Rattus norvegicus: one gene and its partners. The protein of the gene in region 4 purifies or fractionates together with the protein of the main gene of each other region. This does not show direct contact. Links are inferred from orthologs where the notes say so. Each region holds a gene or a part of one and is shown on either strand. Other genes may lie near its edges. The genes, in order: Znhit6, Nop58, Actl6a, Ruvbl1, Wdcp, Nopchap1 and Tuba1a.

Evidence for each region.
Region 1: the proteins of Ruvbl1 (region 4) and Znhit6 purify together in Homo sapiens (co-immunoprecipitation; 3 studies listed by BioGRID and IntAct, counting the BioPlex papers as one, with this or other methods). This does not show direct contact. The link is inferred for Rattus norvegicus from reciprocal best matches to the Homo sapiens genes RUVBL1 and ZNHIT6.
Region 2: the proteins of Ruvbl1 (region 4) and Nop58 purify together in Homo sapiens (affinity purification with mass spectrometry; 4 studies listed by BioGRID and IntAct, with this or other methods). This does not show direct contact. The link is inferred for Rattus norvegicus from reciprocal best matches to the Homo sapiens genes RUVBL1 and NOP58.
Region 3: the proteins of Ruvbl1 (region 4) and Actl6a purify together in Homo sapiens (affinity purification with mass spectrometry; 10 studies listed by BioGRID and IntAct, counting the BioPlex papers as one, with this or other methods). This does not show direct contact. The link is inferred for Rattus norvegicus from reciprocal best matches to the Homo sapiens genes RUVBL1 and ACTL6A.
Region 5: the proteins of Ruvbl1 (region 4) and Wdcp purify together in Homo sapiens (affinity purification with mass spectrometry; 6 studies listed by BioGRID and IntAct, counting the BioPlex papers as one, with this or other methods). This does not show direct contact. The link is inferred for Rattus norvegicus from reciprocal best matches to the Homo sapiens genes RUVBL1 and WDCP.
Region 6: the proteins of Ruvbl1 (region 4) and Nopchap1 purify together in Homo sapiens (affinity purification with mass spectrometry; 4 studies listed by BioGRID and IntAct, counting the BioPlex papers as one, with this or other methods). This does not show direct contact. The link is inferred for Rattus norvegicus from reciprocal best matches to the Homo sapiens genes RUVBL1 and NOPCHAP1.
Region 7: the proteins of Ruvbl1 (region 4) and Tuba1a purify together in Homo sapiens (affinity purification with western blotting; 3 studies listed by BioGRID and IntAct, with this or other methods). This does not show direct contact. The link is inferred for Rattus norvegicus from reciprocal best matches to the Homo sapiens genes RUVBL1 and TUBA1A.

Annotation. Positions count from the first base shown.
Region 1 is NC_086020.1:237,171,158-237,174,657, forward strand, and holds part of Znhit6 (box C/D snoRNA protein 1), read left to right. Parts: intron 1-156; coding exon of another isoform or gene 157-235; exon of another isoform or gene 236-317; intron 318-3,252; coding exon 3,253-3,377; intron 3,378-3,500. UniProt on the Homo sapiens protein: Required for box C/D snoRNAs accumulation involved in snoRNA processing, snoRNA transport to the nucleolus and ribosome biogenesis.
Region 2 is NC_086027.1:68,613,816-68,617,873, reverse strand, and holds the start of Nop58 (nucleolar protein 58), read right to left. Parts: upstream 2,801-4,058; 5' UTR 2,640-2,800; coding exon 2,595-2,639; intron 1-2,594. UniProt on the Homo sapiens protein: Required for the biogenesis of box C/D snoRNAs such as U3, U8 and U14 snoRNAs. Part of the small subunit (SSU) processome, first precursor of the small eukaryotic ribosomal subunit.
Region 3 is NC_086020.1:117,423,731-117,427,230, reverse strand, and holds part of Actl6a (actin-like protein 6A), read right to left. Parts: coding exon 3,366-3,500; intron 1,153-3,365; coding exon 1,052-1,152; intron 353-1,051; coding exon 255-352; intron 1-254.
Region 4 is NC_086022.1:122,488,348-122,492,553, reverse strand, and holds the start of Ruvbl1 (ruvB-like 1), read right to left. Parts: upstream 2,801-4,206; 5' UTR 2,771-2,800; coding exon 2,630-2,770; intron 1,546-2,629; exon of another isoform or gene 1,467-1,545; coding exon of another isoform or gene 1,089-1,466; exon of another isoform or gene 1,027-1,088; intron 176-1,026; coding exon 89-175; intron 1-88. Other genes in the region: Rps25l3 (small ribosomal subunit protein eS25-like), read left to right, coding at 1,089-1,466. UniProt on the Homo sapiens protein: Possesses single-stranded DNA-stimulated ATPase and ATP-dependent DNA helicase (3' to 5') activity; hexamerization is thought to be critical for ATP hydrolysis and adjacent subunits in the ring-like structure contribute to the ATPase activity.
Region 5 is NC_086024.1:33,580,145-33,582,814, reverse strand, and holds part of Wdcp (WD repeat and coiled-coil-containing protein), read right to left. Parts: intron 1,004-2,670; coding exon 889-1,003; intron 1-888.
Region 6 is NC_086025.1:22,244,351-22,248,338, forward strand, and holds the start of Nopchap1 (NOP protein chaperone 1), read right to left. Parts: upstream 2,801-3,988; 5' UTR 2,787-2,800; coding exon 2,672-2,786; intron 1,421-2,671; coding exon 1,334-1,420; intron 1-1,333. UniProt on the Homo sapiens protein: Client-loading PAQosome/R2TP complex cofactor that selects NOP58 to promote box C/D small nucleolar ribonucleoprotein (snoRNP) assembly. Acts as a bridge between NOP58 and the R2TP complex via RUVBL1:RUVBL2.
Region 7 is NC_086025.1:131,993,020-131,997,217, forward strand, and holds the start of Tuba1a (tubulin alpha-1A chain), read right to left. Parts: upstream 2,801-4,198; 5' UTR 2,735-2,800; coding exon 2,732-2,734; intron 978-2,731; coding exon 755-977; intron 624-754; coding exon 475-623; intron 310-474; coding exon 1-309. UniProt on the Homo sapiens protein: Tubulin is the major constituent of microtubules, a cylinder consisting of laterally associated linear protofilaments composed of alpha- and beta-tubulin heterodimers.

The DNA of each region.
Region 1 (3,500 bases), on a different chromosome or scaffold from region 4:
ATACCACAGAGGCTTGGAGTTGTGCTAGAAGTCAGATTCTTATACCTAGGCAGAATAGACACAGAGGTGAAGGGAGTCCTGAGACTGTGTCCTGTAGTTATAATAAAGTAAAAGCTGTGTCAGACTTGAGTTTGTGAACTAGTAATCTCTGTTTAGTCACAGAGCGCTCGTGGCTCTGAAGAAGCACTGGCATCCCTGTTTGCAAGTAGGAAACAGGATTGAAGGCATGAAGTGAGCCAGGGAGCTGCTCAGTGGACAGCACCTGCTACACAGGCGTGAAGGTCTGAGCTGGAATCCTGGTACCCTGGGAAAGCCAGGTACGGTCGCCCATGTCTGGGCTTTCTAGATGCCAGCCAGTATGTTATGGGCATCAGCAAACAACAAAAGACCCTGTCTTAAGGTGGAAGGTAAGGACTGACCCTCAAGACTGTGTAAATGCCAAGTAAATAAATTTAAGTAAAGTAATTAAACACTTAGAAGTGATGTATCCAGGATCAGACCAGTCAGTAGCAGAGAAGGGCTTTAACTCCTATTAGGCTTACTGCTTCCTATAGCCAAATTCTAAGTCCATAAGATGTTACCCTGTATGTATTGGACGGGCTTTCTTTATGTATGACTTCATAGTACACTTTTAGTCACTGCTGCACACTGGTGTCCTAGAATTTGAAGAATTTCTGACTTTGAGCTAAGGGAGTCTACTTTGAAATATGAACTTCACAGTCACCAAGCAGTGCTCTGGATGCTTGCTGGCCCTTAAGAGAAATGTTCCTCTGATAGAGGCTGTAACTGTGCAGGGCAAACACTAACTGAAACCCTGGAACAGGGGCTACAGAGGCAGCCCAGCAGTGAGAAGAGCATGCTGCTTTTACAGAGGACCAGACTTTGATTCTCAGCCATGTTGGGAGGCTCATAGCCACCTATAGCTCCAGGCCTCTGAGGGCACCTCCTAGATGGGACATGCACTTAAACACACAAATAAAAAAAGACATTCAACAAACCCACTTTCTGTCGTATTTGAACAAAATGTTTTAAAAAACTCTTTAGTTGACAGTTCTGTAAAAAGCTGTGTAGTAAGTGTTTTGCATTATGCCAGCTTGGTTTACGCAATAGAAACATCCCTTCATTTGTGAGGTGTCTTAGAGGAAGCCTTGTGGTTAGGATTAAGTGTGCGTAGAAGGTAAGCTCTTTCAAGGCTGACCCCCTGATGCCTGATGAGACCTCTGAGAGCCCTGGTTGTGTTTTCCCCTAGGAAAAGTTCAGGTGCATCACTGTGTACTGTACACTAATTTTATATTCAGTTATCTAGTATAATCTCCTGTTTTTCTTAGTGTAACTACAACTGTTTCTTTTTAATGTATTTTTAATTCTGTGCATCTGAGTGTTTGGCCTGCGTGCACACAGTGCACCACATGTGTGGAGTGCTGGCGGAGGTTAGCAGAGGGCGTCAGATCTCCTGGAAGGGCAGTAACAAACAGTTGTGAGGTGCCCTGTGGCCTCCAGGAATGGACCAGGTCCTGGGCAAAAGCACTGAGTACACTGCTGAACCATCCTCCAGCCCCACGTTGTTTATTTTTGAGGGAAATAATGTTTGAAAGATGTGAAGCATTTGATCCTTAAATCCTGGACCCACTTGTAAATATTTTCTGCACATCTGTCTTCTGTTACCCAGGGAGAGAATGGTGTGTGAACACAGATGCTGGTTCAGAAAACACAGTTACTTTGCTTTTCATGCTTCTTTGTAATGCTCTGTGATTCTGAAGTAAATACTCCATCCAGTTCTTGGTAGAGTGATCATCAGAAAAGCTCACACACAGGTTTCCTTTACACTCAGTCTCTCAGTGTCATCCCCTAAGGAAGACCTGTTATCATGGGAGACTTGGATTGGCATTCGTAAAGCACTTACCCTTTCCCCTGTTGCACAGGACAGCCTTGGAACAGAGAAATTGCTGTTATGGGAGTTCATAACTCCATATACAAATAACTCGATGTAAATTTAGAGATGCCAAAACTCGCCAGTGATTTATGCCAAATCACAGCAGGGGTAGTGCTTCCAGGGGACGTCTTTGCTCTGGAGCCTTCACAATCCAGCGCGCTTTCTGTTCTAAAGACTTACTCTGTCATCATTACCTTCCTTGTGTGTACCGTTAGGCTTGTGCATGTGAGTGCCAGTTCCTGTGGAGGCCAGAGAGGCATGGGACCTACTGGGGCTGGAGTCAGGTGGTTGGGAGCCACCCAGTGTGAGTGCTGGGGGCCAAACCCGCGTCCTCTGCAGGGACAGCAGATGCCCTGAAGAGCCGTGGGTTTGTCTGCCTGTGAGGGTCCTGTGCTGTCCGTGGGGGAGAGTGAAGCTGGTGAGCCTCCTCTTGGTGTTTTCCTGTTGGTCTGAAATGACATTCAGACGCCAGCGTGTTCCAGCACAGACTATTACTGCACAGCTGACACAGCACCCAGAGAGCAGGCAAAGGAGACTTCAGGACGACGTACCTTTGGCCCATTCTGTCTTTTAAGAACTTAGCGGTCTTATTCCTTAGTGCGTGTTGGTAATTAACTGTTGTGTATTATCAGCTATGTCTGATACCGTGACCAATAGTCTGTAATTCTTAGATTTCTCACATCACATTCACAAATCAAAAGTATTAAAGTGTCAAGATGAAGACAAACTATATTTAATTGCATGGCAATATAAACTTCTGGAATCCAGTTATAAGTAAATTTGACCTTCTATAAAAGTATTTTGTAGCCACTTATTCTTTTAAAGTTCAAAGTAAATAGATTTGAGGAATTTGAATTTCACCTGTCAAAGAAAAGCTCATGATGCACTGAACATTGGTTTTACATAAAACTGTTCATTTCCAAGTCTATATGAAAACTAGGGACTTGGTCTAAGTTTTTTCAAGTGCCAATATCTGGTAGGTCTTTTTTCTAAATATGGCATCTTGCAGTCATTTCCTAGACTAGCCTCAGACTTCCTGTTTCAGCCTCCCAAGTAAGTGACAGATCCTGTACCACCGCGCCCTGCTTGCTATACATTTTGATTGTTTGCTGTTATGTTGATCGCTTGAGACAAGGTCTAAATGGAACCCAGATTGGCCTGGAACTGGATGTGTAGCCTAGGCTGCCCTCAAGTCACGAGCCTCTTGTCACGGCTGCTCATGGATTCGGTTATAGGCACTGATGTACTTGTCCAGTCATTTCAATATTAGTCTTTTTGCCTGGATTCTTAGAAGACGTAAGTGTGGTTTTTTTCTTAAGGTATTATGAACTGGATCCTTCCAAAAGTCTTGTAAACAACTTGAGGAACAAAGTGATCATTGAGTATCCGACTCTGCATGTGGTATTGAAAGGCTGCAGTAATGACATGCAGCTTCTTCACCAAGGTAAGCAGTTTGTTTTGTACCTTTTTAAAGGGACACGCAATAATGTGACTGCTACTACATGTGCCTGTGTTTGTAGATGTAAAAGAATGTACTGTGTACAGCAGCTGATCGTGTGACGTACCA
Region 2 (4,058 bases), on a different chromosome or scaffold from region 4:
TAGAAGATAACAAAAGGATTAACAGAATTGTCATATTTGGGAGATTTTTGTCCCATTCTCTTATGCCTGCTGTTGGAGGTCAAGACTGTCCCCTAGAACTGGAGGTACAAATAATTGTGAGCCACCATGTAGTTGGGTGCCGGAAAGGTAAGTCCTCTGAAGAACAAGTACTCTTAGCCACTAAGGGATCTCTTCAGCCCCAAATTGTCATCATTCTTAAAACTAAAGTTAAAGCAGAAAGAAAGCGCAATAAAATCATGGTGATTAATAGTTATCCAAATTATTTACAAATCCTGTAGAGCAAAGAAAACTTTGGCTGTACCCAATCATGCCACCATATATCGTTTCTAAGCAGTAATTAGAACACTCACTGCCTGACCCAAGCATGAAAAAAATCTGTAGCCAATACAACTGAAGGTATTGGAATGTCTAGAAATTGAACCAAGGGCCACAAGTGCCAGGCAAGTATTTTTACTATATCCCTAACCCTGTTTTCCTTTTATTTTATGACAAAATCTCATTAAATCACTTCCATAGGTCTGTCTTCACTTCCAGGAATTATAATTCATTAGTACGGGCATTAGTCTGTGCCAACAGGGCTTTCTCTCAAAATCTAATTCATATTCTATCATTTTGAAAGATCATGGAAAAAGGCAGCAACTAGTATTGTTGGGACTCACATAAAATATTCACCTTGCGCAGTACGCAATTCCCTTCTCACAAACTGCAATCACTAGCACTAGATCTAGAATATGCCTCCAGTAATATAAATACCAAGTAATTATAAACTGAAAATTTCAATACTCAACCCTCCAATAAAGTAACAACACACAGCACATTTATCACAAAAACCATGGAACACTGGAGTATCCTAATAAGTAAATAATAGAATGCTCAGCACATGGACACTCACTCTACCTCATTGTTTCCACATCTCAGTAGTCTGCCATTGTTCAACGGTTTCCATGATAATAAAGTTGTAAGCTATTTCTTACAATGAGAAATGGCTCAGTGGCTAAAAGCATCCACTGCTCTTCCAGACACCTGGGTGCAAATCCACATGGCAGTTCACAATTGTCTGTAACTCCACTAACTGACTTCACAGACACACATGCAGGAAAAACACCAAAGCACATAAAATAAAGAAAATAAAAAACCACCAAAACCTTTCCCTATTTAAACAAGGGACACTAAAGTTTAATAGCAGCCACCTAGATTTCTCTGCATGTTTGCAATTATGAACTCCCTGGTTTATACAATCACATCAGGATAAGCCTCACATAGTCCAAACTGGAAATCATGAACATGTCCCCAACTGTCTCACTTAAACAAAAACCCATCAATCCTGTTGCTAGCAGCCCAAATTTCCATTCAAGCAATCTCATTGAATTTAAAAACAAAAAACAAACAAAAAGGACATGACACTTCTAGGTATGGGAAGAGGTTTCATTGCAGATATGAGGGAAAGAATACAGCCAGAGGCATCTAGAATGGTCCAGGCTGAGCAGGGACAAGAGAGGAACAGAAAGACCAAGACCAAATCTGACGACCAAGAGACAGTTGTGGACAAAATGGCTGGGTTATATAGAAATCAGTTAAGCTGGGAAGGGTTCTAGCCCAGTTACTGGGCTGAAGAATATACAGGGAGACTGGCGGCCAGTCAGATTTGCCGTTAATAGGCACCTCAGCCATTTGTCCTGAGTCCTAACATTCATATTGTCTAAATTAAACCACAGCATAACTTTCTCTTGTTCCTTCCTGTTATCACACAGTAAAATAATGTTTCGATAAAACAAATTACACCAGTCAGTACTCAAAACCTTCCAAACATGCCTGAAAGGACCCTGATCTTGGAAGCCAGCTTTAATCTACTTAAATATAAATGGAATGTTAGGGGCCAGCCAATCCTACACAGCGAGACCCTCCCTGAAAAATAAAAGCCCGTGGATGACGATGCACACCTTTAATTACAGCATTTGGGACAGAGGGAATTCCAGGGCAACTCGAGCAGCAGAGAAACCCGGTCTAGAAAAACACAAAATAAATAACTGGGGCTGGAGAGATGGCTCAGTGGTTAAGAACACTGACTGCTCTTCCAGAGGTCCCGAATTCAATCCCCATCAACCACATGGTGGCTCACAATCTGTAATGGGATCTGATGCCCTCTTCTGGTGTGTCTGAAGACAGCTATACTCATACATAAAGTAGTAAATGTTAAAGAATATAAAAAAATTACTGATCTTGAATTAGGGATGTAGCTGTGTGACAGGACGCTGGTCTAACATGTACACTTAGGTTCTATCCCCAACACCGTAAATATTTTTATTAAATGAACGTTTTATTATTACTTGTAAAAAAGGGTCCTACCCATTTTTTAAACTGAGCAAATCTCTAAAGCAGAGGAGGGCGCCCTAAAGTCGGAGAAGCCACGTGTTCACTTGAAAAACCGGCTCTTGATTTTTCACATCCTTTCGGATCTGGGAACTTGAAAGACACTCAAATGTGTTCCGTTATTCCGTCTCTCCTTAAATCTTAACATGGATAGCTGTCTGTCCCACATAAGCCTTTTGGCTCAACAATTCCATCTCACCTACCTTAAAGATGGCGTAGCCAACGGACGTTTCAAATAGGACCAACATGGTGAGGCCAGATCCGGGCGCTACGCGGCTAACCGCGAGCCCTTACTCCACTGCAAAAGACTAACTTTCGGCTACTGAAGGCTCCCTAGGCCTCAGACGCTGGGAAGCGCAAACGCCTTTGCCTACCCGCGGGCGGGGAGACCACGTTGCCTAGACGTTCCACACCTCTCCGCATGGAGCAGCAAATACGAAAGTCTCCTTCTCCAAGGATTCTGGGATGTCAACGTCACTTCCGGTCGATTAATGCCGCAGAGCGTGAGGTCATTTCCGGTTTTTTCCCGCCCACAGAGGAGACCGGAAGAAGGCGGTCTCAAGATATCGCGAGACTTTTGAAGTCCTGAACTGATTTTGAGAGCTGTCAGTTTACGCGATTATGTGAAAAATAAGTTCTGTGTAATTTATTTATATATTTTATTATATACAATATATAAAGTACATGTGTATAATTTACAGCACATTATGCTACCTCCCGCCATGTAAAGGACATTTTATTTTAAAACAACGCAGAACACTTTCTTAATGAGGACTTGCATTCCTGTCCCATTAGTCAGTTCCAAGGGATCTGACACACCCTCTTCTAACCTCCTGGAAGCCAAGTTGTAGGCAATTGTGAGCCGTCACGTGGGTGCTGGGAACCCAATCAGGTCCTCTGCAAGGGAAGCAAACTTTTATAACCAGGAACATTTCCTGGTGGTTTTCCTCTCTGGTCAAACAAGTTTTTAGCCAAGATTTCTTCCATTTTTTAAAAAACGATTTGTTTATTTATTTCATGTATGTGAGTACACTATCACTGTCTTCATGCACACCAGAAGAGGGCATCAGATCCCATTACAGATGGTTGTGAGCCACCACGTGGTTGCTGGGCCTTGAACTCAGCACCTCTGGAAGAACAGCCAGTACTCCTAACCGCTGAGCCATCTCTCCAACCCCAAGATTTCTTTTATAGCTATAAGTATAAGTATTTTTTGAGGGGGGGTTTTGTGTGTGTGTGTGTGTGTGTGTGTGTGTGTGTGTGTGTGTGTGTGTGTGTGTGTGTGTTTAAAGTGATCCCGAGGTATGAGTTTAAACATGTCTCAATGCAATTTCTTTTATGGAAACTTTCAGCCTTAGCGGCAGGGTTCATTTTAAGACAAAGTCTTATGTATCTCAGACTGGCCTCAAATTCACATGACCTTGCTAAAAACAACTTGTTTATTTGTTTGCCACAGGGTCTCTATGTAGTCCTGTATGTCTTGTAACCATGTAGATCAGAGAAGCCTTGAACTCATAAAGGTCCACCCATCCCTACCTGCACAGTAGTGAGATTACAGGCAAATGCCACCACATTGACTTTATTGGTGCTGGGGATGGAACCCAAGGTTTGGTTCCGTACATGTTAGGGGAGCACTTTACTAACTGAGCTGCCTCCATAGCCTTTTG
Region 3 (3,500 bases), on a different chromosome or scaffold from region 4:
AGAGGGAGAGTATATCAGGAGGGGCAGGTGAATCTAAGCAGAAGAAGTGAGTGAATATGGTCCAGGTCCATGATATACTTGAAGGAAGAGTGTCTTTATGAACCCCAACACTGTGTACAATGATTACACACACCAAGAATGGGGGGCAGGGAGGACCTTAAAAAATACTCAAAGAAAGGTAAAAAGCTAAAAACCACTTCTTCCATTAATGTCTTACACACACTGAGAAAAGCTGTCTTATAGTTTAAGGATACGCCGTCAAAACTGCAGTTTTGCAAAGGAAGAATGCAGGGATGCTGTAGTGCTCAAACATCAACTCTGTCAGTTTCTCTCTCTTTGCCCTGGTGTTCCACTGGAGAAGGGAGAAAGGACATAGGTTATTCACTGAACAGTAATTAAAGCATTGATTCATTTCATACCACATTACAGAGTCATATTGGTGAAGGAAGTTAAGAGGTCCTTTTTAAAAAAAATATATAAATGAAACTCTATTATTCAACAGGTAAAACTGTTAGCTGCTATGAGTTCTAGAAATAAAGACTTTACAATCACAGGGAAATTAAGACTCTAAAAACAAAAGTATTCTTAAATATTAAACCTGGTAATCAAAAGACTAAATATGAATTTTAAAACACTCAATCATCCCACTTGTAACTGGTTCTCACAAAGTCAATTATTTCATTTGCTGAAATAATGTTATAACCATAATCAAAATTAATCTTTCCCCAAATTTCCAAACTCAAAATGTAAATGTTGATGACTCTTTAAAAGAAAACAAAAAGCCAACAACATAATTCAGCAGGTAAAGTCTGCTTTGTCCCCAATCCTGACAGCCTGAGTTAGAGCCCTGGGATCCACATGGTAGAGAGAATTAATGCCTCTACATGTGTGCCTGGCACATGAGCACCCGTGTGTGCATACACACACATAATAAATTAATTTTAAAAAGTGTATTTTTTTCTAAAAACAAAAAGAAAATCTTCAAATGAGCAGAAAGTAAAAGAAGAAAAAGAGCATACACTAGAGAAACTAGAAGAGAAAGCGGTCTCACCGGTGCTTCCGACATGAGAACAGGATGCAGACTGGCTTCAGATTTGACATGCATCTTGTATGTATGATCCAAAATGGCCTGGAAACTATCCCAGTCTTCAACTAGAACGTAAGAGTCAGAGCAGGAAACAAGGCTTAGCTGATGAATGAGCATCATCTAAGACAAAAGGACTGTTTCTAGACTTATAATTAGTATCTCAATATACAGAATCTACTTTGTAACACAGTACTTTACAGAAAGGACAGTATCGTCTTCTGCATATAAAATCTCCTTCTGGTTCTTCCAGGTGGGCCTCAGATCTGCCCCAAATATAAATGGGGTGCTTAACAGACACCTAGTTCTTGCTAGAGGCCAGGTGGGTGATCAGAGAGGGAAAGCAGCTCATAAGCTAGACACAATTATTTCTGGAGCTAGGAAGAAAACAAAAAGCAAAATACACACTATCTGTTAGAAAACTAAGGATTTAAAGGTGTTTTAAAAATCCAGAGTAGCTAGACGTGACATTGCATACCTTTAATCCCAGCACACTGCACTAGGGAGGCAGAGACAGGCAGGTCTCTGTGAGCTCCAGGCAAAGCAAACAAAACCTGGCATCCCCCCACCCTTTGCTCATGTGTCACTGGTTAAGTGGTGACAGTTCCATTGGACAATTAGTATTATCAATTAAATGTGACCTTTTGACCTTACCTGGCACTACTGATTACAATGGTTTACAAATGTTTTCTCCATAAACCCATGTTTTTTTTTTAAGTCTGTAGTCTTCAACAGTAGCTGGGACCTATGTCTCCCTTGGGGAAATTTCAACCCACTGGCCATGACTTGACTCTGTAAGTCTTAAACTTCTCTTGAATTTTCCCCCTACACCTAATTTGAGGCTGAAATTCTCCTTCCTGAGCACTCATCTCAACTGGTTAAATACTGAGCAAATTCCCAATAGAAAGCCCGTTCTTAACCTCTTACAAGTTCCACACCCTTTCTGGGTCACCTACAATGTTTCTCCATGACTTTTAGCTGACCTGCTTACTAGATCAGTACCAATGTCCCATACACTCTGAAGTCAGGCCACTCACTTGCTGTATGGGAGAGCGCAGCAAACCTGACCCTGCACTGGTGTCTCGGCACTCAACAGTCTACAGTTCCCTGCACTGATACAAAGCACACCCAGTATGCTGACAGTAGGCTACTGTGTCCAACCTGTCTGCAAAGTAGCTCATGTTGATTACTGCTTCCCACCTGTGTTTCTACACCTTTGACGTATGAGAGGCAGAAGTGGTCCGATGTGACCAGCCCTCAAAGCCTTACAGAGTCTCTGCTAAGCTCCTAGGTAGACAATACATGCATTATTACACTGTGCAGAGTGAGGCAGAAGCACACTCTATGCATCCACAGTGAAAGACTTGGGTCTCCTCTGGATTTCATCCCCTCTCCCTTTTCCTTGGATGCCTTCTGTGTCTTTTCAGTGTGGTATCATGAGTCCTCCTATGAATAGCTCCTATGAGTACCTCAGAGTTTTCTCCAGAGACAATAACATTTCTGCCTGCCTCCCCTTTTAATTCTTATCTTAGTGAGTATTACCATTGATTCATCACCTCAACCAAAATTCTAGGAAACCTTAATTCTCCTCTCCTTTCTGCCCCCTTAATCTCCTAGTACCACCTGTCGCCTAGATATTCAAAAGTCGCTTCAGGACTCTGTTCTCAGTGGTTTAGTTTAAACCCTCCTCAGTTCCATTCTCCTCTTTGATTACTGTCCTGTCTCCAGCAGACCCTACAGACTGTCAGTGAGTCCTTCAGAATGGCAAAGATAAGCGCACACACTACGCCTTACTTAATTTAACTTCCCTAGGCCAGCTTTCAGGGACTATTTTAGCATGCTCCAAGAAGACAGCATTCTCTGCCTACCTTTCCTGCAAGCAACCTAACATGCACAATGCTGCAGCCACATCTGTGAAGCAGTTCAAACATATCCTTCTCAACTCCCATCTCATCACACTAGCTGCTGCTTTTCAGCTTTTCTCAGCCTTGTTGGACAGTTGAATTCCTATCCCATGGCTCAAGACTTAGCAGCTACCTCCTTTATAAACTCTCTGATCCCACTGTTTGCTGACCACACGCACATAGCTTTTAACCTTGTACACAGCACGCAGTTTTCTGTACATACACCAAACTCTTCTGACTTTGAGTTTAAAGGAAAAGAACATTTCTTACACATTTCTGTACTCTCACTATCTAAAATATTACTTTATCGAATTAAAACAAACAAATACTTGTTATTCATCTTCTGAGATTTGTTGCTGTCTATAGCCAATTCCTACCCATGCCATTCTTGAGCGGTGAGATGGCTTCCATGCTCTCCCTGGGCACTCGGAGGGCATTGGTGTCTATGTAGTAGGTGGGCCCGCCCTGCTTGCCTTTGTCACCATCGATCTCCATCATCGTGCTTCCATCAT
Region 4 (4,206 bases):
CAAGGCCCTGGGTTCGGTCCCCAGCTCCAGAAAAAAAGGGAAAGAAAAGGAAAAAAAAAAAAAAGAGAGAGAGAAAATGAATGAATACCTTGCCAGTTCCAGGAGGCCCTGCCAACAAGACAGCTCTTCCAGCCATTTTCTTGCTTTTGATTAATTCGACTATGACACCACATGCCTGCACAAAACAGAAAGAAACAATCAGTCAATCTTAAAATGCTTCATGGTAGAAACAGTTCAGGGCTTGGTCCACACAGTTCCGATGCTCTTCTGACAGGACACCACTGCTGTGGGGTGGAGCGGTGGGGGTGAGCCACGTGCTCTAGCTCATGCCATATGATGGCTCCCACAAAGAGAGAAGCAAAATGAGACACTGAGCAGCTAGGGAGAGCTGGGGCGGAGGGGGCTTTCTCATAACCTTGTATGTAACATTTGAAGCCCCGGGCAGAAATCTACATTTCAGGCAAAAATTGCAAATTGAAAATAACCAAAGTACAAGTTTGATATGTCTAAGGGTCAACATGCTGCAGCTACCAAAGTATAGTGAACAGAAGGGAAAGGGGAGGTTGAGGCAGGCAGGAGCCAACACAGACCTAGTACTTAACAAAAGCAGCAGGGCTGTGCATTCCAGGCCAGTTTGGCTACGGCAACATTATCTAAACAAAAAGGGTGTGCTATGAATCCAACCAATAAGAGTTGGAAAGAGCTGGTGAGATGCTCAGTGGGTAAAAAGCACCTGCAGTGTAAACCTTAGTTCAATCCCTGGATCCCACAATGGAAGGAGGAACCTCTGACCTCTACCCAAACACCATGGCAGGCCTATAACTGCACAGCCTACGCACACATTGTGTCAAATAGGAAAAGAAAGAGATACCAGCTAAGGAAGCCAGGTGCATAGTAAAGGCCCACGCCTTTAATCTCAGCACTCAGGAGGCAGAGGCGGATGGATCCCTGTGAACTCAAGGCCAGCAGGGTCTACAGAGTCTCAGGACAGCCAGAGCTAAAAGTGAGACCCTGTCGTGAAAACAAACATACAAAAATAAATACCAGAGTGTGGCTGCAGTGGTCCACACTACTCTCTGAGTTTCGCCATGCTGCCCAAAGACGACAAGAAGAAGAAGGATGCCGGAAAGTCGGCCAAAAAAGACAAGGACCCAGTAAATAAATCTGGTGGCAAGGCCAAAAAGAAGAAGTGGTCCAAAGGCAAAGTTCGGGACAAGCTGAACAATCTCATCCTGTTTGACAAAGCTACTTACGACAAACTTTGTAAGGAAGTTCCCAACTATAAGCTTATTACTCCAGCTGTGGTCTCCGAGAGACTGAAGATTCGAGGTTCCTTGGCCAGGGCAGCCCTTCAGGAGCTACTTAGTAAAGGACTTATCAAGCTGGTTTCAAAGCACAGAGCCCAAGTAATTTACACCAGAAACACAAAGGGTGGAGATGCCCCAGCTGCTGGTGAAGATGCATAAACAGATTGAATCAGCTGTACATTTGGGAAAATAAAACTTTATTGAATCAAAAAAATAAAAAATAAAAAAAATAAATAAATACCAGCTAATGACAATAATAATAAGGGTGAAGATACTGAGTACCAGGGAGGCTGCTAGCGTGATTGGCCAAACAAGAACCCAGTGCAGAGGCAGGTCTAGAACAGACTCTGAAGTCACATACAATCCAGTATCTATCCTGGCCATTTCACTTGAGGTGAGTGTCCTCAGATTTATTTTACCTAACACCTATTACTCATCTGACTCCGAGTGTTCAAAACAACTGTACCCACAAGGAAGGGCTTATGTGCAAAGTGGGCTGATGTCCACAGTTTACTCTGACTTGTGACGGTAGACATACATGAACAGATATACCATAAAGCATCACTGTAAAATGTTAACTGTAGAATTTTGGCACACTGGGATTTAATGTGCAAACATGTCAATGTTTCTGTGTGCTTAGAAACATCAGACCAAAGTGAGGTTTATTAGACAGAAATGAAATAACAGACAATAAAGCCGCCTGACAAATAGAAAGCATTAAACTATTGCTTGCAAAAAAAGATGCAAGTGAGCTAGGGTCAAACGTTTCCCTTTTGGATAGATGATGCTCTTGAGGCTGGGAAAGCAGTCTTCACCACATATAAACAGCAAGTTTTTGTAGATACTGAGTCTCTGCAGGGATCAAAGTGGAGCAGTCTGAGGAAATGGGAAGAGTAATCATTTGGGGTGGGGTCGGGAGAATACCAGCCTCATTACTGCTGAACTGGCAGGTGGTTAAGCGACCTGGCCCACCTTTAATTTCTTCGTGTGCAAAACAGAACCGATCGAAAGACCTGGCATAACTTCCAATGACTTTAAGAAGACTGAACTGGAAAAGCTAGAGTGCTTGGATGGGGAATAGGTCATAGTGTTCCTCCTCACCGCTCCACTTAACAGATCAGCTCCCAGGCCTAAAGAACCCATATCAACTCCGAAAATTTAGTCAATTCTACATTTAATCCCACAGCTTTCCACTGTGTTTCCGGTGAGGCCTAATTTGCCTGCCGTGACCCTTGCTGGCTAATGTGATCCTCACTTCTCAGACAAATCTTAGTGAGACCTGGTCCCGCCGCCCACACCGCGTGCACACGCCCCACGCCCACCTCTCTCGCGTTCTCCTGGCCCACGAGCCCCGAAGCCGCCTGCTTGGCCAGGCCGCTCTCATCCAGCCCCAGCCCCTTCACGTGGCTGTGGGAGGCAATGCGTTGCGTCTTCGTGGTGCTCTTCACCTCCTCAATCTTCATTTTGACGAGTGTGTGCAGCCACAACCTGCGTGGAGACTAGGAACTACGGCACGCCAGGCGCCTGGGTTACCACGCGGCCGTTACTAGGCCGCTCTCCAGGACCCGCCCTTATTAGTACGCCATTGGTTGAAGCGAAAAGACTTCGTTTTCTATTGGCTACAAGCTACGCTTGTCGGCGGCTGAGTTTCACCCACCAACTTCCGTCTGTGTCACAGGTTAGGTTCCCCCAGGGCAGGCATTTCCTGCCCTGGCCAGGTTTGACTGGGAACCGTCAGATTCTTAAGCGCTATTAATGTGAATGGCAGGTTTTTAATTATAAACTCCTCTTTTAATGCTTTTTTTCTTTAGTATAAGATGTTTATGCCAGGGTGAGTTGACTCCTTCACTGACAATTATTAGACCTTTCCCAGGTGCTTGGATGTCCTGAGAGAACTATCAACGAAGCAGCTGCCCAAAGTTCTCCCACTCACACCTAATTTAGACACCCCAAGGATGCCCTGAGGAAGCTGCCCAGCCAACCACTCTTTTCCAGCCCATTTTTTCCAGAATACACTAGATCCTGAAGGCACTATTCCAGCCCAAACTTTTCAAACACTTTATGTCATGATTTTGATCATCACATGCCCAAGAAACTTTTAAAAAAGAAGAGAAGGTGTCTCTGCCTCCTGAGTTGCTGGGATTAAAGGTGCTGCCACCATACTCTGACCAGCCATTTTCACCTGTCTTGAGTGGGTACAGTTCTCCAGGTAGCCAAACAAAAACTGCCTGTGACTTGTGAAGAAACATGGCCCTTTATTTGAATAAGCAACTGTTTGGTTATTGGTGCAAACATGGTAGTCCATTTCCACAACCCACTGTACCATAGTGTAAATTTAATGCTTCATTTGCATGGAGGGCTGTACTAAGGACAGCAAACATTCTTGTTTACCCTCTGACATTCTGGCATTCTAAGCAGGTGCCCCTCACTTTTAAGTCAGCCAGGAGACACCCTCCTGTGCTGTACAATGTACAGTTGTGTTGTAACATTAGTCCCATTGTAAGATTTCTCCAGTGGTCTATCCACCTGGATTAATAGTATGGTGGACTGAGCTGGTAATATGAAGACATGCCGAGTGGCTATAGCAGTGAAGACAGTGATAAAAGGCAGCTAGTGAGTTCTAGAGTGACTGGGAACAGAAGTGACAAGTGACAGGCAGCCGAGAAACCAAAGGCAGAGATTGCTAGACAAGTTCCAGGGAGTGCCAAGTCTTTTCATTTTTGTAATCTATCCATATGGGTGTTTTGCCCACAGGTGTGAACGCACCATGCAGTGCTCAAGGAGGTCAGAACAGGGTGTCAGATCCCCAGGAACTGAAGTTACAGATGGTTGTGAGCCATCATATGGGTATTGGGAATTGAATTTGAGTCCTTTATAAGGACAGCCAGTGCTCTTAACT
Region 5 (2,670 bases), on a different chromosome or scaffold from region 4:
TGTTTAAAAATAAAACACAAATACATAAACAAGAAACTATGATAAAATAAAAATGGTATACTTCAGAAATAATACTAACCTGTCAAAAATGGCAACTGTAAAGCCATATGTAAATGTATCTGTCAAAACTGAAAAATGTTACAATGATAAAGGGAAAAATAAAATGTCTTATGTTCAATGTGGTGGCTGCTATTTAAAAATAAAAATGAGCTGGTCAGTAGTGGTGCATGCCTTTATTAATCCCAGCATTTAGGAATTCTGTAAGTTTGAGACCAGTCTGGTCTACAGAGTGAGTTCCAGGACAGCGAGGGCTACAAAATGAAATGAAATGGAAGGAAGAAAGGAAGAGACCAGCCATGGTCTGTGTGTGCTGAGGAGGGCATCAGGTAGGCCCTGCGTGTAGTCCTGTCCTTCGCATCCCCCCACTGCCTCCACCTGAGCATGTCAACTGCACACTGCAGTGTTTCTATGTCCGGTGCATTGGGTTGCAACGGGAACGCTGCAGCTGCAATGTTCTGCCTTGCAGCTCAGTTTTCTTTTTTAAAAGGGATACGAGGGGTTGGGGATTTAGCTCAGTGGTAGAGCGCTTGCCTAGGAAGCGCAAGGCCCTGGGTTCGGTCCCCAGCTCCGAAAAAAAGAACCAAAAAAAAAAAAAAACAAAACAAAACAAAAAAAAAAAAAAACAAAAAAGGGATACGAGTCCCCCAGGAAAGGGTTGTAATATCTCTAGTGGGGCAGGGTATACAGTAGGCAGTCAGGGTATATAGTAGGCAATTAATCATATTTATTCACTATTTAGTGAATCCCCTGAATGGCTGGATGGTACCATTTCCATTCCTGAAGCTTCAGAACAGACGGGAGGGAGAGGGGGCTCTGGCTTTCACCTACCGTGCAGCATTTCAACGAGGTGGAGGCCAAACATCTGTTGAATGGTACTGAGCCTTAGTCTGCCGTCACAGAGAAGCACAGCTCTTTTTTCAGCAGGACCCACAGAACAAGGTTTCTTCAAGTAAAAGTAAAAGTGGTTAACCGACTATTAAAGCAATGGACTGACAGCTCTTAAGAACAATGTAGAGGGAGCTGGGCATAGTGGACATGCCTCGGATCCAGCACTGGGGGATAGGGAACAGAGACAGGCAGAGCTCTGTGAGTTTAAGGCTAGCCTAGTCTACAAGGCAAGTTGAGGCCAGCCCAGGCTTACATAGGGAGACCCTGTCTCAAAACAAACATTTTTTTTTTTGTCATGAAAGAATGAAGTCATTTTAGAAGTGATTTAAAATCTACCTTGAGGAAAATATCTTTAAATTGTTACGGTTCTAACTTAAGATTCACTATTAACCTAAAAGCATAATTGTGAACATAGAATAAAATATTACTTCTAGGGCCAGGTAGTTTTATGCTGGCTAGTTTTATGTCAACTTGGCACAAGGTATAGTCATTCAAGAGGAAGGCACCTCAACTGAGAAAATGCTGGCATAAGACTGGGTTGTGTGCAAGGCAGTAGGGCATTTTCTTAATTAGTGATTGACGGGGGAGGGCCCAGCCCATTGTGGGTGGGGCCATCCCTGCACTGGTAGTCCTGGGTCTATAAGAAAGCAGGCTGGACAAGTCATGGGGAACAAGCCAGTAAGCAGCATCCCTGCATGGCCTCCGCATCAGCTCCTGCCTCCAGGTTCCTGGCTTGCATGATGATGAGCTATTATATGGAACTGTGGGTGAAATAAACCCTTTCCTCCTCCACAGGTTGCTTTTGGTCACAGTGTTCACCACGGCAAAAGTTTCATTACTAAGACACCAGGCCAGTGAGATGGCTCGGTGGCAAAAATCACTTGTCACTTAGGTTATGAAACCCAAGTTCAATCCCTAGAATCAAGACAGAAGGAGAGAACTGATGGGTTTGTGTTTGTTTGTTTAAGACAGTCTCACATATAGTCCTGGTTGGCCTGCAAATGACCGTGTAACCAAGGATGGCCTTGAACTCAAGAGATTCGTCAGCCCCTCCTCCCCAGCACTAGCACCGTTGGCTGTGCCACCACAACCCGCTTCTGATTGTTGACAGTCGTCCTCTAACCTCTACATGCATGCCCACCTGACACGAACATATTATATACAAACACGCGATGATAAATAAAAGTTACTTTTACATTATACATTTCTTTTAATTATTTAAATATTCTCTTCGTTAAGTATTTGGGGAACAGTGTTACAATGGAACTGGAGATCTGGTTCAGTGAAATGAGTCAAACTCATTTTGTGTGTGTGAGTGTTTTGCTGCACATGCGTCTGTATACCCGTGTGCACTAGTACCAGAAGACGTCAGAAGACAGCCTGGAACCAAACTCTGGTCATCTAGGATAGCAATACATGTCCTTCTGTTGGTCTGTCCTCCCTTCCTCCTCTCTCTCCTTCTCTCTCTCTCTTTCTCTCTCTCTCTCCTTCCCTTCCTCCCTCCCTCCCTTCCTTCCTTTCTTCCTTGGGATTTCTTTTCTTTTCTTTTTTGAGAGAGGATTTCGCTATGTAGGCCTAACTGGCCTAGAACTCACTATGTAGACCAGACCAGCCTCTAACTCACAGATATCCTCCTGCCTCTGCCTCTCAAGTGCTGGAATTAAAGGAATCTGCCACTATGCCCAGCCTAGTTCATGTTCTTAACAGCCACCTCTCCAGCTC
Region 6 (3,988 bases), on a different chromosome or scaffold from region 4:
CTTCAGGTTAGTCTAACACCGAGAGAGCAGAGCAGAGACCGGCAGCACATGGAGAAAATGAGCATTGGGATCCAGATACAACTTTTAGTTTCTAACTCTGGTTTCTCTTAAAGCAATCAGAGCTTTTGCTCTTAGGCAATTCAGAGTTCTAACTAATGCATTCAATCTCACCACCATGCTGGTACCAGCCAGAATCTGAGAGAACCTCAACTGAGGAAATGCCTCTGCAAGACCCGGCTGTAGGACATTTAATTAATTACTGATTGATGGGAAGGGAGGGCCTGGCCTATTGAGGGTGATGCCATCCCTGGGCTGGTGCTCTTGGGTTCTACAGGCAAGCAGGCTGAGCAAGCCAGTAAGCAGCACCCCCCATGGCCTCTGCATCAGCTCCTGCCGCCAGGTTCCTGCCCTGCTGAGTTCCTGTTCTGACTTCCTTCAGTAATACAGTGACGTGTAAGTGTAGGCCGAATAAACCACCCCCCACCCCAAATTTGCCTTGGTCTTTGGTGTTTTATCACAGCAAAACAAACCCTAACTAGGACAGAAATGGGTACTGCAGTCATGGGGTACTGCTGTGGCAGAGACCCGACTGTGCTTTTAAGATTGTAGAAGAACTTTGGGCTGGGCCATTCTGTAGAGAGCTTGGAGGAGAAGAATGTTGAGAGCAATGCAGATGGAGGTCTGGCTTGTGACATTTCAGAGGTCAGTTTGAGAGTCCTTTAATGCTTCCCAGAGTATTAAGAGTTATGGGTTCATGAAGCCACACAGCTCAAGTGGGTTCCAAGGATTTGAACCCTGGTCCTCATGTTTGCTCAACAAGCACCTGTTCTGAGCAATCTCCTGGAGTAAATACCTGCCAGGTGTGGTGGCACACACCTTTAACCCACTTCTTGGGAGGGGGAGGCAGAGTTCCAGGCCAGCCAGGGGTAAGAGACTTGTCAGAGGGGAGGAAAAAAACAGACTTGGCATGGCAGCACGTAACTCATTCTAGAATTGGGTGAGGTAGGAGAATCTGGAGTTCAGGGTCCTTCTCAGCTACACAGTGAAGCCTGAGGCCAACCTGGACTACATGAGACCCTGTCTCAAAAGGGGGAAAAAAAAAGATCTTAAGTAACTAGCTGGACCTTTTGAAGTTTCAAAAATACCTTTCATTCAGAAAAAAATTGAAGGGAGGTGATGAACATGAAAAATTCTATTCCTCAGAAAATGGTTTACACAATGTATTTGACTCTCTGGTTTAGTATGAGCCATGAAGACAGGCTATCCCATCACAAAATGGATTAACTAGCCTTAATCAGGGGAGTGTCCTCTAGAGTAGAAAGGAGGTACTTACAAGGGCTCCTTTGTACCCGAACTGTTTGAAGGGTAGAGGCCTTTCTGGAATGAGGCTTAGAGTTGATAAGCAGCTGGTCCCAGACACCTGAAACCACACACAATTAACGGCATAAAACAGCCCTGAGCCACAAGTGCAACTCAGAAATGATAGATTAACAGTGAGAGAGGGGCCATCAGCACAGCCCTTAGGACTACCTACAGTCTGGACCATTCCACACACTGACAGAGAAGGAGCAAACACCCCTGTCTATATATACATCCATCTCTCCTCTCTCTGGCCATCTCTCACCCACCTGTAGTACTCAAATACACACTGGATTCTATCTTCTGAGTTAACAAAAGAGGTTGGGGGGCTGGGCATGGTGGGGCACTCAAAAGGCAGACAAGTGATCTCTGGAGCTCTAGGGCAGCCAGGACTACACAATAGAACTGTCAAGCACTAATTGCCCTTGCAGAGGCCAGGGTTTGAGACCACGCACCCACGTGGGGACTCATACTGGACTGTAACTCCAGTTACAAAAGATCACTTTCTGACCTCGTAAGACACCAGGGATGCACAATCCACAACTTTAAACAACAGAATTAGCAAAACTTAGTCTTCAAGTTTAAAGTTAGAAATGCTTTAATTTCAGCACTCAGAGGCAGAGGCAGGCCAGCCTGGTCTAACAGAGCAAGTTTCAGAACCAGGACAACACAGATTGGTTTTTTTTGAGAATTGTTTTTTTGAAACAGGGTCTCACTACATTATACTTGTGGCTGTTCTAGAACGTCCTATGTGGACCAGACTGGTCTCGAACTCAAGAAATCCCACTGCCACTGCCTCCCAAGTGCTGGAATTAATGAGATGTGACACTAGCGGAAATGCTGAGTGGATTTCCCCGCACACAGGTCTCCCTCCGCCAAGGCCACACTAAGGAGTTTGTACCCAAATCAAAAAATAATAAAAATGGTATTGTCTGCTCTTTACCTTCCAAGCCGGTCCAGACCAGGTAGTCCTTGTAGAGTTCATGAAGAACCTCCCAGGTCCGGACTGGCCTAGTTGTACCCACCACGACTGGCCCGGTCATCCCTGACACCGGCAGAGTCCCCGCCCCCTTAGCGTCCGGGACTCCGCGGCATCCCCGACCCCCGCAGCGTCTCGGGCCTCCTGGTGTCCCCGGTCCTCGCAGAGACCCGACCCCTTGCAGTCTTGGGCGCCTTAGTGTCCCTGAACCCCGCGGCGTCCCTGGTCCCGGGAGCGTTCCCAACCTCCCGCAGCGTTCCAGGTCCTGCAGCGTCTTCGACCCCGCAGCGTCCCCGGTCCCGCCAGCCCACCCCGCTCTTCGCCGCCGCTCACCTCGCGAACCCTCGCTCCCCGCCGTCAGTAGCTCCCTGGACACCGTGATCCGCGAGCAGTCCACAGAAGACGAAGAAACCCCAGGACCACTCGCGTGCTCACCACGGAGCGCCATGCTTCTCAGGCACTGGGAGTGGAAAAGCCCGGATATAGAAAGGCACGGGGAAGGGGCGGGGTCAAGGCGGCAATTGACGGAAACTCGGAGGTGGGCGGTGACTTAGGAGGGTGGGGCGGTGCGTGGCGGGAGCTCCTGCCTGCAGCTGAAGCCTCCAGCCCACGGGGACCGGAAGCGGGGGCGGGCCCCAGGCGGGGGGCGGGGACACCACACTGCCTGGGCGGACCGCTAGGATTGCACGTGTCCGAGTCCAGCCAAAAGGTCTCCTTCCTTACTACTAGTAAGCGTCAGCCCAGCTAGGTTAAGCTAAGCAAACGCAAGCGTGAAGGTGATACGAGGCCTTTGTCGTTATTCTATTTTTGTTTTTGTTTGGGGAGGTTTCTGTGGCCCTGACTTTGTGGCAATCCTGCCATAATTTGTAACTTACAAACGCCAAATTATAGGTGGGAGCCACCACACCCAGCTTCTTTAAAAAAATTTTTTTTTGTTTAACCGGCTGGCCCAAGTTGGCCTCAAATTCACAATTTTGCCAGTTTCAGTTTCCTTGCACTTAAATCTACAGGCACCCGTTTACTATGCTTGCCTTAGTTTGTTGCTTGTTGAAGTCTCACCGAGTTATTCTTCTTGGCCTAGTACTCAAAAGTCCTCCTGGCTCTTTCTAGCCTCCTAAATAGCTTGAATTTAAGGTCTGGATGAGCAGACCGAGCTTAGTTCACTATTCAATGGTAAACACAAAACCCAGCAGTATCATAAATGCTGTTTATATTGCTATATATACAACAAGCCTTTGGAACATTGTCATGTCAAAATGAAAATTGTTCCTGGTGGTAGCTAAGTGGTGAAGTTGTGAAGGGAGCCCTAAGTTTGGTCTCCAGCATCAAAACAAACCCTTAATTTTTTTAAAAAGCTGAAATAAAACCATTGAATGATAAATCCCATTCCTCCTCTCTCCCTGGCCCTGGGACCCAGTGCTCATGGTTTTGCTGGGAACAAGGAAAAGAAACATTTGTAAGCACTACCATTTCATTTTCAGACTCCATTTAAATCATAAGGAGAAACAAAATTCAAGGCCCCACGCACTAGGGGAGCTGGGGACTTCCCTACAGCTGAAGAGCTTTTGTCTTAAGCAGGTGTCTGAGTTTAGACTTCTCGGGAACAACTTGTAAGGAGACAGCTGTCTTGAGTCCAGCCATCTCAAGAGT
Region 7 (4,198 bases), on a different chromosome or scaffold from region 4:
GTTTAAGTTAGTGTAGGTTGGGCGCTCAATGTCGAGGTTTCTACGACAGATGTCATAGATGGCCTCATTGTCTACCATGAAGGCACAATCAGAGTGCTCCAGGGTGGTGTGGGTGGTGAGGATGGAATTGTAGGGCTCAACCACAGCAGTGGAAACCTGGGGGGCTGGGTAAATGGAGAACTCCAGCTTGGACTTCTTTCCGTAGTCGACAGAGAGCCGCTCCATCAGCAGGGAGGTGAACCCAGAGCCAGTTCCCCCACCAAAGCTGTGGAAAACCAAGAAGCCCTGGAGACCCGTGCACTGGTCAGCCTGTGGGAGAAAAGGACATATAATGTCTTATTACCAGGGCATACACTATTTCAATTCCTTTAGACTGTGAGCCATCTCTACCTGATAGGAAAGACCTGACACATTTTGACAGATACCAAGACACCCTCCCACTGCATTTTAAACCCATCCACATAGGGCATTTACCAGCTTGCGAATTCTGTCCAAGACAAGGTCAATGATCTCCTTGCCAATGGTGTAGTGGCCACGGGCATAGTTATTGGCAGCATCTTCCTTGCCTGTGATGAGCTGCTCTGGGTGGAAGAGCTGGCGGTAGGTGCCAGTGCGAACTTCATCTGAAAAAGGAGAAGACATCAGCCATCACCACCAAGGACCCCACAAGCTCACTCACCCTTCCGGGTCTGGAGAGACATTCTGAGTATGTGACCAAGAAGGACTGCCCCAGGGAAGCCCCCAGTCCACTTACCAATAACTGTGGGTTCCAGGTCTACGAACACCGCCCGGGGCACGTGCTTGCCAGCTCCTGTCTCACTGAAGAAGGTGTTGAAGGAGTCATCTCCTCCCCCAATGGTCTTGTCGCTTGGCATCTGGCCATCAGGCTGGATGCCATGTTCCAGGCAGTAGAGCTCCCAGCAGGCATTGCCGATCTGGACACCAGCCTGGCCGACGTGGATGGAGATACACTCACGCTGTGGAAAGGGGGAAAAAATATCATAAAATTAAGTTGTTGTAATATTAAGCTGTACTTCTATTTTAGATTTTAATAGATTTCTAAAGTGTTTCTAAAAATACAAACATTGTTTAAATTTATTTAGTGTCATATCCCTAATATGACAGACACAATGAGGAAGGAGTACCCACTACCAATACTGAAAGTGGGTGTGGCCTCAATGTCACCTTAGTACTGCTTAAGACATGGTGCCAACCCATTGTTCCCATAGCAGTGTTTGAATAGAAGTCTTCATATTTGAAAAATATTCAAAACATAGATTCTGTAAAATGAAATAATTACCCGAAATTACATTAATTGCTTCTTTTCTTGTTAAGTAAGGATGAAGGTTTCATCCTACAGGACCTGGTATTTCAACGTGGACATCTGCAGTGCGGCTGAGGCCAGCAGCCACACCCTTCTGTGGACCCCATTAGTACTCTGGCTAAGCTGCAAGCTAGACCGAGTCTCACAAAGTTTAAGGTTTCATCCTATAGGACCTGGTATTTCAATGTGGACATCTGCAGTGCGGCTGAGGCCAGCAGCCACACCCTTCTGTGGGCCCGGTCAGTACTAGGCTAGGTTACCTGCTATTGAGTCTGACTTCTGCATTGCCGCGTTCTCTGTGCCTGGCTCTAGCCTGTGGTCTGTTACATTATTTAACAGAGAAAGCTCTATTTCCAGAAGCTGTCTACGTGATCTCTTTGTGCAGCTTTCTGCGTGCCTCCCAACCCTGCCTGGGGCCATCTGCCTGAATTAATGAATGAGTGTCATATATTAGAACAAAAGGCAGTCGGGTGCAGAGTATCATTTTTTTTTTCTTTGCAGCAGAATCATTATGGTTTTTGAAGGTTTTCTATTGGATGGGACGGAAACATTCTTAAAGCAGGCTAAGTTAGAAACACAGTGCACACAATTAGTGCCAACAATTAAAAAAAAAACAAGTGAAAAGATAACTAATATTTAAAAGTAGAAAATAGTATTTTTATCCGATGAATCTCTACATACAACATAATAAACCACTATTCTATAGAGAGAGACACTTCTGCCTTGGAGGGACAACTTTCATTGTCTGCGGGGGTTGGGGGCGGGGAAGGGCGTTTCCCTGGGTTCTGACCGTCAGCTACTCGGGCTTCACAAAGTGGGCTTTGTCATTCCCAACCATCCAGCTCCCCTCCCCCCACCCAGCGAGATGGCCCCGTGGAGCATCTCGTAAGACTACAATTCCCCAACGATTCTTTTTAAAAATAAAAATTAATAATAATAATAATAAAAAACCCAGCTCGGGAGTGAGGCTTAGTGAGAGCGAACCCCTCCCAAAACGCCACGGAAGCAAGAGACAAACAACCCCGCCCCTGCGCCTCCCTGACAGCGGCTGCCATGGATCCCAGGCAAACTATTTTCCCAGCGAGTTAGGGCGGCGTTTCTGGAGTGCGGGCTCGGCCGCCGCCCTGCCCTCCTGCTGCAGCAGACCCTGCGGCACCCTCCCTCTCCCCCGCCGGTCCCCTGTGGTCCCGGGCTCTGCCAGCAATCGCTCGCCGGCGCAGCCTTTGTTCTTCCCGGTCTGGGCGTTTCCGTGTCCCGCACTGCGGCGGCGGGACTCACGGACTAAGCTAAACTTAAAGCATCCAGACCACCCTTCCCCGCAGAGATGACAAAAGGCTTAGGCGTCTCCTTGCAGACTGAGCCGGCTGACACCCACCCGCTCCTGAGAGCCCGGGAAGGTTTGCTCACCATGGTTGCTGCTTCGCGGCTGCCGGGTGGATGGCGGAGGCGAGGAGGAGGTGTTGCTTCTTACAGCGCGACTCTTAAGCGGTCGATGTAAGAGAACCTGCGGCACTTGGGCGGATGCGCCTCCTTATATACAGCTCGGTCACCATGGGGATGGGCCAAGGCCTTTTCCTGTTGGTCCAGACCCCTCCGTCTGCCCAGAGAAGCCGCGACAGGAGAGTGGTGATTGGTGCAAGCGACATGGTATGAGGTAATCTCTCCCCCCTTCCCCCCCTCGCTAGCATCCGTAGATTTTGCATCCTTCAGACAAAGGCCTCGCAAAAGCAACTAGCCGAGCATCCATTATGGGGTGGAGCTGGGGAGGGGTAGAGAGGGAAGAAAGAAAACGGGGGTTGGGTGATTATACGGAGCTTAAACCTTAAACTGTAGTTAGGATAATTTAAGGTTTTCCCCAACACTTAATCACAGAATTTGTGTTGAGATTCTTTATGGTAAATTCCAGCTTTTCATTTATACTACACTAAATTTAAATACGTTCCGTCAGGATTCAACATCTCTGTTCGCTTTAAATAAAGTAGCAAGAGCTATGGGAATGATGGTCAAAAAGGCGTGGGTAAATGTTTAGTTTTACAGTTGTATTATTGTGGTTATTATTATTATTACTATTATTATTAATATTTGAGCAAAATTCAGAAGCTCAGTATGAATAGACCACGCCTATGACCCTCAACAGCACCTGGGAGGCAGAGGCAGGAAGACTTGCAGCTCAAGGTCATCATAACCGCCCTTAGTGGTTTATGCCTGTAAATCCCAGCATTGGGAAGCGGAGGACTGCGGTTATTTTGTACCCGGCCTGGATATATAGTGTGATATCCTGTCTCAAAAACCAAAAACAAACAAAGAGAGAGAGAGAGAGAAAGGAAAAAAGAGAAACAATATACAAAGTAGTACTTAACGCTTTACTAGAGAGCTTGCTTTCTTTAGCGGTAGTGCTCTCCCATCACCCCTCCCCGCTCGCCCCCTTACCCGACCCTACCTCACCCCAGAGCCTGTGTTATTTTGTCCCTAGAAATGAGCCATCCCTTCTAATACGGAATTCAGAAACTGTAAGGAGAAAGGAGTGAGTTTAAAAACGAGCTCTTTGTGTGGGCTTGTATTTCTCCAGCGCTCCTTTTTTTTGAGGGGGAGGGGGTGATACCAAGTAAAAAATAGCTGAGATGCCAAATTAAAAAGAGGAGAGTATTATAATATAAAAAGGAAACCATTTTTGCGATGTTGTTTTCATCCCCAGACAACTGTGCAGTGCCAGCCCTGTGCAGTTTTGTGTAGTTCCCTGAATTCCGTAAATAGCCCCTTTCCGCAGCTGGGCTTCTTTCTGACTGTGGGAACTGTAGAGGCTCGCCCCACTGCTACTGTGGTCGTTGCTCAATTGCCCCTTGGGACAAAAATGCCTTGCTTTCACCCCTAGGA